3 linked regions of the Stegostoma tigrinum genome follow. The protein of the gene in region 2 purifies or fractionates together with the protein of the main gene of each other region. This does not show direct contact. Links are inferred from orthologs where the notes say so. Each region holds a gene or a part of one and is shown on either strand. Other genes may lie near its edges. The genes, in order: brd8a, actl6a and SWI/SNF complex subunit SMARCC2.

The links.
Region 1: the proteins of actl6a (region 2) and brd8a fractionate together in Homo sapiens (co-fractionation; 4 studies listed by BioGRID and IntAct, with this or other methods). This does not show direct contact. The link is inferred for Stegostoma tigrinum from reciprocal best matches to the Homo sapiens genes ACTL6A and BRD8.
Region 3: the proteins of actl6a (region 2) and SWI/SNF complex subunit SMARCC2 purify together in Homo sapiens (affinity purification with mass spectrometry; 8 studies listed by BioGRID and IntAct, counting the BioPlex papers as one, with this or other methods). This does not show direct contact. The link is inferred for Stegostoma tigrinum from reciprocal best matches to the Homo sapiens genes ACTL6A and SMARCC2.

Annotation. Positions count from the first base shown.
Region 1 is NC_081376.1:48,891,087-48,894,835, forward strand, and holds the start of brd8a (bromodomain-containing protein 8), read right to left. Parts: upstream 2,225-3,749; 5' UTR 2,219-2,224; coding exon 2,200-2,218; intron 1-2,199. UniProt on the Homo sapiens protein: May act as a coactivator during transcriptional activation by hormone-activated nuclear receptors (NR). Isoform 2 stimulates transcriptional activation by AR/DHTR, ESR1/NR3A1, RXRA/NR2B1 and THRB/ERBA2.
Region 2 is NC_081367.1:36,938,886-36,942,634, forward strand, and holds the start of actl6a (actin-like protein 6A), read left to right. Parts: upstream 1-1,515; 5' UTR 1,516-1,655; coding exon 1,656-1,680; intron 1,681-3,749.
Region 3 is NC_081404.1:1,311,517-1,315,265, reverse strand, and holds the start of SWI/SNF complex subunit SMARCC2, read right to left. Parts: upstream 2,911-3,749; 5' UTR 2,885-2,910; coding exon 2,774-2,884; intron 1-2,773. UniProt on the Homo sapiens protein: Involved in transcriptional activation and repression of select genes by chromatin remodeling (alteration of DNA-nucleosome topology).

The sequences.
Region 1 (3,749 bases), on a different chromosome or scaffold from region 2:
TAAGCACCAACTCTTGCTTTTATTTCATCCACTTGTCTATTATCTACTCCTTTGCTGTGACAATGGCATTCCTTGAAGAGAAATGCAAGATTACCAACAGTATTCAGTTATCCTTTTAGATACTACCCTTCATCTATCTCCTGCTGTTCATGCTTATCAAAAGACTTGCACATTTGCAATTATTCTATTTCCATTCATTCTATTTATCACCCTTTTCATTTATGCCCTGCATTTTTTAAAATTCATTTTATTTCTCCACTGAATAATGAAACAAACATGAAACAGGCCTCCTTTTCAGTTTCACCATAATTTGCAGGACCTTTACTTTGCTTTAATACAGGGACTGGTATCAGTATAAGTGATCACTGGGCTCACCATAAAAAAAGTGACCAGGTTCTGTAATGGCAGTTAAGGAAGAACTTAACCTATATGGGGTAATTCAACATTGTTAACTAGCAAGCCACGAAGTGGCACCAGACCGTTACAGAAAAGTTATCTTGGATTCTCCAGCATCTGCGGTTCCCATTATCACAGAAAAATTAAAGTTGCTCATGAAGGTGACTGCATGTGGAGGCTGTGGGATGGGGTCCACTGATTAACACTAATCTCCACCAGAAATTAACAGAGGTCAACATTTTCAGAGAGGCCCTGGCATTTCATACCTGGCCAATGGAGGTTTTAACTTGCTGAGCAAATACTGCAGAAATGAGGTATTCAGAGCTTCTGAAGTACCCTGACACAACAGCAACAAACATCTTAAAATTCACCATTTGGCATTGGAACATCCAGGCCATGATTTCCAGTTTGCCTGTGCTCTTTAACCACCTGAATCACTGTTTGGCCACAGTTGGTACAACCTTAGTTTTTTACATGTAAAAAACTGAGGCAAAAAGCTATGGAAGCTTTAATTGGAAATAAAAGAAGAATATGCTTGAAATGTTCAGAAGGTTAGAGTTAGTTTTAAAGGTTAACTTTTTGGATTCTCTTTCCAGAGACACTGTTGGGCTAATCTGGGTGTCCCAACAACAGTAATTCCTCCAGTTATTTTCTACACAGTAGTAAGTCCTAGGCTAAGTGTATTTTAGTCACAGAGCAAGGGTCTATCTATAAGTATGGTGCTGCTCCACCTGGAAGGTATATTTGAGCACTTGGAGAGTAGGGAGGGAGGTGGGCGGGCAAGTGTTACATCATCTGCAGTTGCAGGGCAAGGTACCACAGAACTATAGGAGGGGTGTTAGTGAAGGGGGAGTGGACAAAGGTGTCTCAGACACCCACACTCGTAGGACATCTACGTTCTGCCCACACAAAACAAAACAAAAAGACCCTGAGCTTCCAGTTGCCTGCCACATTAACGCACCACCCTGTTCACTGGCCAACATCACTGTGTTAGACTTGCTGCAGGGTTCCAGTAAAGTTCAGAGCAAACTGGAAGAACAGTTTTGTCCATCCAAATGCACTTTCCTTTCTTTGGGCTCTATCCCAACTTATGATTTACTCCTTACACCTCTCCCCACCCTATCCTCTGCATACAAACCAACATTTTCCTAGCTGTAAAAACAAAATTGCTGGAAAAGCTCAGCAGGTCCGGCAGCTCAGTTCTGAGGAAGGGTCACCGAGCCAGAAAGGTTAACTCTGGTTTTCTCCTTCTGAGCTTTTCCAGCAACTTCTGTTTTTGCTCCTGATTTACAGCATCCGCAGTTCTTTCGGTTTTTATAAAGGCTCGGGGCAGCTAGCAACATCTATGCAGACAGAGTCAACATTTCAGATCAAGCTACTAAATATTTTCAGCATTTTCTAATAACATTATAAAAGCTTCAGGTGTTTAACATTGCGGAAGGGAAGGCAAGCCAAGAACTCAAGACTGCTCCACACTGCCCACGTTGACAGTTCTTTCATATTCGGACTCCTAAATTGAAAGCTTCTCCTCCTCATCCCGCCAATGAGCCACTCTAACATCCACGAAGCCCCTACCACCAACCTCTCACTCCGTCTCCATTCATTCCTCGCTCTCTCCGCTATTCTACCCATAGCCCTCGTCCCCATTCTTTCTCACTCTCACTTTCCTTTTCCTCCTCCTCCCTGTTCCCGTTCCCCACTTTCTCTACTCACACCTTTCCACTCTATTCCCACCTCCCTTTTTTCCCCTCCACTTCTCCGTCTCTCCCATTCCCACTCTCTCCACGTCGCCAGGTTACTCACTGCCACTACTAGCCGCCATCGTCCCATTAACCACCGCGCGCATTGACCTCTAACCCCGCCCGGAGAAAAGATTAAACCATCACTATCCCACGAGATTTTATAGAAACGCGACCGCTGATTATTAACATTATTACTGAATGTTGAATTTGAGGACATTATCGGTGTTTTCTCCTCCACTGCTAAAATAAAATAAACAAGGGTGAAAGGTCAAGGCTTCTGATGTCACATGCAGAGCACCCATTGGCTGCGCTGTAACCAGGCAACAACGCCGGACCCCGGTGAGCGAAGAGCAGGGAACCTTCTTCCTCACAACCTTCTCCCCCCTCCCCCCCGACCAAAGACCCAGACACCAGCAACACAAACTTCTCTCACCCCCCCACCAACCAAAGACCCAGACACCAGCAACACAACCTTCTCTCACCCCCCCACCAACCAAAGACCCAGACACCAGCAACACAACCTTCTCTCACCCCCCCACCAACCAAAGACCCAGACACCAGCAACACAACCTTCTCTCCCCACCCCCCCCCCAGAAACCCAGACACCAGCAACAAAACCTTCTCTCCCCACCCCCCCCCCCAGAAACCCAGACACCAGCAACAAAACCTTCTCTCCCCACCCCCCCCTCCAGAAACCCAGACAGCAGCAACACAACCTTCTCTGCCCACCCCCCCCCCCCGCAAAGTCCCAGACACCAGCATCACCACCTTCACCCCCCCAACCAAAGACCCAGACACCAGCAACACAACCTTCTCCCCCCCCAACCAAAAGACCCAGACACCAGCAACACAACCTTCTCCCCCCCCAACCAAAAGACCCAGACACCAGCAACACAACCTTCTCTCCCCGCTGCCCCCCCCCCAAAGACCCAGACTTCATCAGATGAAGGGTCTAGGGCCGAAACGTCAGCTTTTGTGCTCCTGAGATGCTGCTTGGCCTGCTGTGTTCATCCAGCTCCACACTTTGTTATCGCTGAATATAAAGTGCTGCTCCTCCATTTTCTGGGTGGTGTCATTGTCACCGTCACCTTGCTGCAGAGTTTCAGTGTTGGTCTCTGCAGATATTTTCTCATCAACCTATTCAAAGGTGTTGAGACAGAGGGGACTCAAAGCAAGGCTCCTCAATCAGAGGTAGGGCCACTGCAACACCCCACATAGAACAGAATAAAATAAGCTTCATTGTCAAATGCTCAAATGAGTAGGGAAAAGTTCATAAGTCACTATTTACAGCACCATCCTAGGTACAAAAGGTACCTCAGTACAGCTTCTTCAGTTACCAGATCTTAGAAAAATAGAGAAATTCAAAGTCCAGCATTGTGCAAATGGAAGTGCAGAACAACAACCTTCCAGCCCAGATTATCCTAGCACTGAGTGTCCAGTCTGCATTGGGCTTCACCTTGAGTTGCTGGAGAGTGGGACATTGCCCTGGAATCACCTGATACCAGGAATCTATGCTCAGGTACGCCAGACCAAGACCACCATATGCCACTGATACATTGCTACGTCACCTCCGTTCAAGCTTGAGGAATAGCACCTCGACTTCTGATTAAA
Region 2 (3,749 bases):
AATTATTTAGATTTTTTTGTTGCTATGAATGCACAATTTCTATGTTGAAGTGTAGTTCAAATTTCATCTTACTCCAATAACATAATAGTTATACTATCATGTTATGCATATACCAGAGAAAATGTGTTCTTCTTGAAACAGATGTCTTGAAGTTCACTTTAAATACAAACTATTTAGATGGCTGCAATGTCAAAGAGTTACACACACATTTGGACATAACAAGGTGTAGAGCTGGATGAACACAGCAGGCCAAGCAGCATCAGAGGAGCGGGTCTGGGCTCTTCTTCAGAAATGCCGATGCTGAAACTGCCATTCTTAAGAAAAGTGTCCAGACCTGAAATGTCAGCTTTCCTGCTCCTCTGATGCTGCTTGTCCTGCTGTGCTCATCCAGCTCTACACCTTGTTATCTCAGATTCTCCAACATTGGCAGTTCCCACTATTTCTAATAGAATTTTAGCCTTTTACTGAAGGGGGCTCTAAATACAAAGAGGAGGTAATAATTCAGTTATATAGATCTTTGAACCCTGTCTAGGACACCGCACTTAGCTTTGGGTATTGTTCAGGAAGGAAATATTGGCCTTGAAAGTAATTTGGCACAGATTCATGAGAATGATATCTTGGCAGACAGTGCTAAGTTATTAGGAGACATTCCATATACCCGTTTTCACAGAGCAGAAATGTGAGGCGTGATCTCTTTGAGGTGATTAAAACTTTGAATTTGATGGGATAGATTGAAACAATTCTTCCGTCAGCTGGGAAAGTGAAAGTATCATCTAAATGTTTGATCCAAATTTCAAGGGATGATAAGAAGTATTTTTTCACAAGATATTTGGATTTGTCACCAAAAGGCAAAGGATGTTGAGACACTTGGAGCTTACAAAGTTGAAATTGATACTTATTTTAATTAATTGGTAGATAATTAACTACAAGGATTATGGAGTGAGTGGTCGGCAGATAAAGTTAAACTATCTGACGAAGGGTCACTGGGCTTGAAATGTTAATCTCTTCACATATGCTGCCAGACTTGTTGAGTTTCTCCAGCAATTTCTGTGATTGTTTCAGAACTTCAACAATTTCAGTTCTTTATTTTACTAGAAATAAATTATAGGTCAGTTGCGATCTAAATGAATGCTGGCGCGATTTCAATGGTCTATTTTCACCCGCAAAATGAAGGTTAAATTGAGGATACTCTTCTCAAACACTTCTGCAGTATTATCTTGGGCCTACAACGAATGCCGTAAGACAACATTTCTTCTTGCAAGTAAGACTCAATTTTATTTGACTTCTGGGTAGGACGGACCTCAACATTCACACCACGAACTTTCGTGTATATTTTTCCCCTCCCGAAACAAATTTGTTAGCTGGTTCCATCTGAAAACCACTCTATTGTCCTTCCAAGCCGCTCCAGTCTATTGGTTATTGATATTTGATTGACGTAGGATGTGGGCGGGATATCTATTTCTATTGGTTGCGATGACAGTCAGCGACGTGTGTCCCCACCCTGTTCGGCTCTGGATTGGTTGGGATCGGCCATTAGTTGCTCTTTGTTGGCCCAGAGCGGGTTTTCGGTCTGGAGCCGGCGTTGGGAGGGCAGAGGCCTTCGTGGATCATAATCATAATCATCAGCGACAGTCTCTCAGCGGCTTGGAGCGGACATGAGCGGCGGGGTGTACGGTGGAGGTGAGTGAGCAACAGCGGGGCCCTGCGTACGGTGCTGTAGCCCCAGCTTGAGGGGTAGTGGCGCATGCGGGAGCGGGAAGGGCAGCGTGAGGTTGGAGGCAGTTAGGCTCGAAGACCGAGATTTCCAGGCGTTTCATCTCTGACTGCAGCGTCTGCACTTCTTGCTAGTTCATCTCGTGGACTGGCTCCCCTTTAGTCACTGCTTCATTCATTTCTCACTCACATTGCTTTGTCTTAAAAACTTCTCCTTACTTCATATAAACAGGCCCAGATGCAAAACTTTTGATTTTAGGTTGCAGACGGCAAACTCAGTCTGACCCTAGTATTGCTAGCCTTTTCTGTATTTCTGAGATGAAGGTTTAGGATTAAGGTTGGACGATATGACGAACGCGAAAGGAATGGCAAATGTTTAAAGTTGGGACTGTCTTGACAAATTAAAATTGAGTTCTTGTGCGTGTCGTATCTTGGATTTAAGTTGCGCTTAGGAAATTACATTTTAAAGGGTATGTAAACATAACAAGTTACACAATCATTGATTCTAACTAGGTCGTGCATAGTGTAGTTGTGCCAGCTTAAAAAATCTAATTGAGATTTTGTCTCATCTGAAAATAGAAGTGGGTCTTTGAGACCCTTGGGCGTGCTGTGACATTCTAGATGGTGCTGATCATCTTATCTCAATGCCATGTTGTCTCTAGAAATCTATCAGTCTTTCTCTTGACTTTAATCAATGACAAGGCTTTCACAGCCTTTGAGAGAGGTTTCCAAAGATTTGCTACCCTCTGAACAAAGATATTTCTCCTTGTCTCAGTCTTAAATGGCTTGCCTTTTGTGAGACAGTGTCTCCCGGTTCTAGTTCCCACAGCCATTGCAAACCTCTACTCTGTTCTTGTTATAAATTTTATAAGTTTCAAGAAATTGCACCTTTATTCCCCTCAACTCCAGAGAACACAAGCTCAACCTCTTGAGAGCAATCCCAACGTCGTGGGAATTGTTTGATTAAAGCTACTACTCAATGCCCTCCATTCGTGCAATCGTAGAATCCCTACAGTGTGGAAGCCGGCTGTTTGGCCCATTGAGTTCACCCTGACGTCTGAAGAGCACCCACCCCCATGCCCCCTCCCTGTAATTCTGCATTTCCCATGGCTAATCCAGTTAGCCTACTCATTCCTGGACACTATGGATGATGTAGCATGGCCAATCCACCTAATGTTCACATGCTTGCACTGTGGGAGGAAACCCTTGCAGACGGTGGGAGAATTTGCAGGCTTCACACAGATAGTCGTCTAAGGCTAGAATTGAAGCTGGGTCCCTGGCACTGAGGCAGCAGTGCTAACCATTGAGCTGCCCCATTATCATAGACAATGAATTTATTTCTTTTGATTGAAAAGTTATTTTTTACTGTATTAATGCATTTTAATTGATTTCTCAGTCACAATATTTCTTGCCATCAGTTCCATTCAGTTTGTTTCTAATGCTGCTTTTTAAATAAGTGGAGAGCATGAAAGACCATTCCAAGAATTGTTATTTCATCTACCTCCGTATCCGGAAACTGCTTTTGGGGCTGCAGCTTATTCTTCAGAGAATCACAGATGCCATTTCTTGTTTTTCAATTCTGTGTCATAGCATTGCTGTCAGAGGAGGAACAAAAAGCATCATAAACATGTTTGAATTTGGCTGTTTTAACTATAAGGTGGATTCAGGTAGATAATGCAGTTGATGTGTGGCCTACAAGCAAGCCTTTTGGCAACATCTGAAATCGCAGGCTGAGTAAACAAAATAAATGCCAGTGGCATCTAGTGGAATGTAACCAATTGGATGCAAAATTTGCTCACAGGCAGGAAATGAAGGGTAATAGTTGCACAATTACCTGTCAACAGGAAGACTGTTATAGGCATTCTTCTAGGCTCAATATAATGCCCCTGATTTTTTGAGTATGTGTACTTAAATGATTTGAATGTAAATGTAGGAAACATGATCAAAAATTTGTGACGAGACAACAATTGTGGTTGATCACAAGGAGGATACCTAGACTGCAGAAAGATGTCAGTGGACCCCATTGCCTTTTAGCC
Region 3 (3,749 bases), on a different chromosome or scaffold from region 2:
AGCCACACCAGAGCAGTGGGAGACATTCAAAAGGACAATAGAGAGAGTGCTGGGCCAACATGTTCCTCTAAAGGGAAAGGTGGAACCAACATACCAAGATGTCAAGGGAAATGCAGGATTGGATAAGGGGCAAAAAGGAAGATAATAGGAGACACCAAAGGCTCAAAACTGTAGATACCTTAGAGGAACATAGGAAGTGCTGGGGGTTGCTTATGAACAAAGAAAACCAAGTGTGAAGCTGGATGAACACAGTAGGCCAAGCAGCATCTCAAGAGCACAAAAGCTGACATTTCCGGCCTAGACCCTTCATCTCTGATGAAGGTCTAGACTCGAAACGTCAGCTTTTTGCTCCTGAGATGCTGCTTGGCCTGCTGTGTTCATCCAGCTTCACACTTTGTTATCTTGGATTCTTCAGCATCTGCAGTTCCCATTATCTCTGCTTATGAATGAAATTGAGTATGAAGGGAGGACATGAAAAAACTTTGATGGGTAACATTAATGAAAATCCAAAGGCCTTTTTTAAGCTTATTAGGGCAGTCAATGGACTAGGGATGTTGCGAGACTATTGATTCAGAGATCCAGAAAATGTTCTGGGTAAGACAAAACAAAGAACTGCAGATGCTAGAAATCAGAAACCAAAACCAGACATGGCAAGGAAAAACTCAGAACTGAACAAAGGTCTCTGGACTCTAAACGTTAACTCTGCTTTCTCTCCACAGATGCTGCTGGACCTGCTGAGATTTTCTAGCAATCTGTCTTTATGATCTAGGTATCCTGGTTTGAACCTGGCCATGGGAGACAGTAGAATTTAAGTTCAATAAAAGTCTGGAATTAAGAATCTAATGATAGCCATGAAAATATTATTGATTGTCAGATAAACCGATCTGGTTCACTAATATCCTTTAGGGAAGGAAGTCTACACGTGACTCCAGGCCCACAGCAACGTGGCTGACACTTTGGTGCCCTCTAAAATGGATTAGCAAGATACTCATTTGTATCAACCACAAGAAAGCAAAATAAAGGAATGAAAACAGACAGACCACTTGGCACTGACCTAGGCACCTGAAATTGCAATGGAAAAAAACAGCCCTGTTAGCCAGACAAAAGTCCTCCTTACTAACATCTGGGGGCCAGTGCCAAGATTGGGACAGTTATCTCATAGACCAGTCAAACAACAGCCTGACATAGTCATACTCATGGAATCATACCTGACAGAAAAATTCCCAGTCACCACCATTACCATCCCTGGATATGTCCTGTCCCACAAGCACAACAGACCCAGCAGAGGTGGCTGCACAGTGGCAGTCGGAAGGGAGTTGCCCTCATGAAGTCTTACGGCATCATGTCAAAAATGGGCAATTAAAACCTGAAACTGATTACCAGACAGCATCTTCTATCCACTGATGAATCAGTGCAGTTCAACATCGTATGGAGAAAAGCTGAGAGCAGCAAGTGCGCAGAATGTACTTTGGATGAGGGATTTTAATGTCCACAACTAAGATTGATCAAGCCCTAAAGGACATGGCTGCTAGACTGGGTCTACGTCAGGTGGTGAGGGAACTGACGAGGGAAAACCATTCTTGACCTCATCCTCACCGACCTGCCTGTTGCAGACATATCTATCCATGATTCCACAACCAACAGATCAGATCCAGATCTGCAGTCCTACCACATGTAAGCATTCATTGTATTGGACAATTAAACTATTCACTGAAGGAGGCATCACCACAAACATGCTCATTCTCAACGATGGTGGAGCCCAGTACATCAGTGCAAAGGATAAGGCAGAAGCATTTACAAAAACCTTCAGCCAGAAGTGTTGACGCAGGGGAGTGAGGGGAAGATTTTGGTTTTCAAGCATCTCAACTAGCTTTTAAATGGCGGAGGGGAACGTGTTCAGGAGGATTTGATTTATGTAGTAAAGGAGCTTTTGTGTCGTAAGAAAGACTGCATTTCTCAGCGGCCGGGATTTTAAGTGAGACTTGGTTTTAAATAGGGATTGGTTTCAAGGGGCAAGCTACTTTTTAAAGCGGGAGATTGTTTTTTTAAGAAAAAGGGACTTCTTGGGGTTTTGGGAATGGAAGGGGGTTCTAGGAAGAAACGTTTTTTTTAAAAAGGGGGAATTGAGGTTTGAAGGAGAACGAAGCTTTTTAAAGGAATGGGGTGTGGTGAAGTGAGGGAGTGAAGGGCGTTTATGGAGATAGCGAGTTCATGGGGTGGTAAAAGGTGTTCGCAAGGGGAGGAGGCTTACGGCGGGGGAATTGGGGATTTCATGGAAGAAGGGATTTTTAGAAAGCTTCAAAGGGGATTAATTTAAGGGAGCAGGAGGCGTCTTCGGGATGAAGGTTTTTTTAAGGGGATTGGACATTTTAAAGTGTCGTTGAAGATTTAAGGCGAAGTTGGTTTTGAAGTAGGATTGAATTTTTTGAGAGGGAAAGGTTTCAGACGGGGCAGATATTTTTGAAATGACGAAAGCAGCTTTTAAGTAGTTATAGGGAGAGATGGGAAGGAGAATTGATCTGGAGTTTCTGAGCATGAGGCGAGGAATGGAAGCAGACCGGGCTGCCTGCAATTCGGCGTCCTCCACTTCCGACTTTCTCCGTTCCGCAGACGGAGACTTACGACCATCGGCTGGGCAACCCGACAGGAAGCTCCGAGGCCGATGTCAAGGACAGGGAAAGCCGAACTTCCACCCGCCATCAGGATACAGTCCAGGGCCCAACAAACAATTGCATCCTCACCCTTTCCGATCCACTCCACTGGCATCTCTCACCTTTTTATAATTCTTCCCTAGCCACAGGCGCACATTATCAAACTGCGACACCGTATCTGAGGCCTCGAAATATTTCACATTCGGGCCTCCGTCCTTCTTCCGCACCGCCATTTTCAACCACAAATTCACTGAGAGAAGATAGGAGCAAAGAAGCAGCAGACAGCACCACCGCCTGGCCAGAGGTGCGCCTGCAGGAGCAGACAGCACCACCTTTTCTGATGGCCGAAACGTCAGCTTTTTGCTCCTGAGATGCTGCTTGGCCTGCTGTGTTCATCCAGCTTCACACTTTATTATCTTGAATTCACCAGCATCTGCAGTTCCCATTATCTCTGAGCACCACCGTCCTGTCGGGATATGTCTTGACATACCCATTTACCACCAGGTGATAGAGATCCCCAATGCTCCCTATGTAGGAGTCCTCTCTCTTTTCCCATTGGGGAGCTGGGGTGGAGGGTGTTGCACGCAGTAGACCAGTGCAATCACCAATTACAGTGGTTTATGGACTCCAAGCCCAACTGTTTGTTTTGTGGTAATAAAATGTGAGGCTGGATGAACACAGCAGGCCCAGCAGCATCTCAGGAGCACAAAAGCTGACATTTCGGGCCTAGACCCTTCATCAGAGAGGGGGATGGGGGGAGGGAACTGGAATAAATAGGGAGAGAGGGGGAGGTGGACCGAAGATGGAGAGAAAAGAAGATAGGTGGAGAGGACAGTATAGGTGGGGAAGTAGGGAGGGGATAGGTCAGTCCAGGGAAGACGGACAGGTCAAGGAGGTGGGATGAGGTTAGTAGGTAGGAAATGGAGGTGCGGCTTGGGGTGGGAGGAAGGGATGGGTGAGAGGAAGAACAGGTTAGGGAGGCAGAGACAGGTTGGACTGGTTTTGGGATGCAGTGGGTGGAGGGGAAAAGCTGGGCTGGTTGTGTGGTGCAGTGGGGGGAGGGGACGAACTGGGCTGGTTTAGGGATGCGGTGGGGGA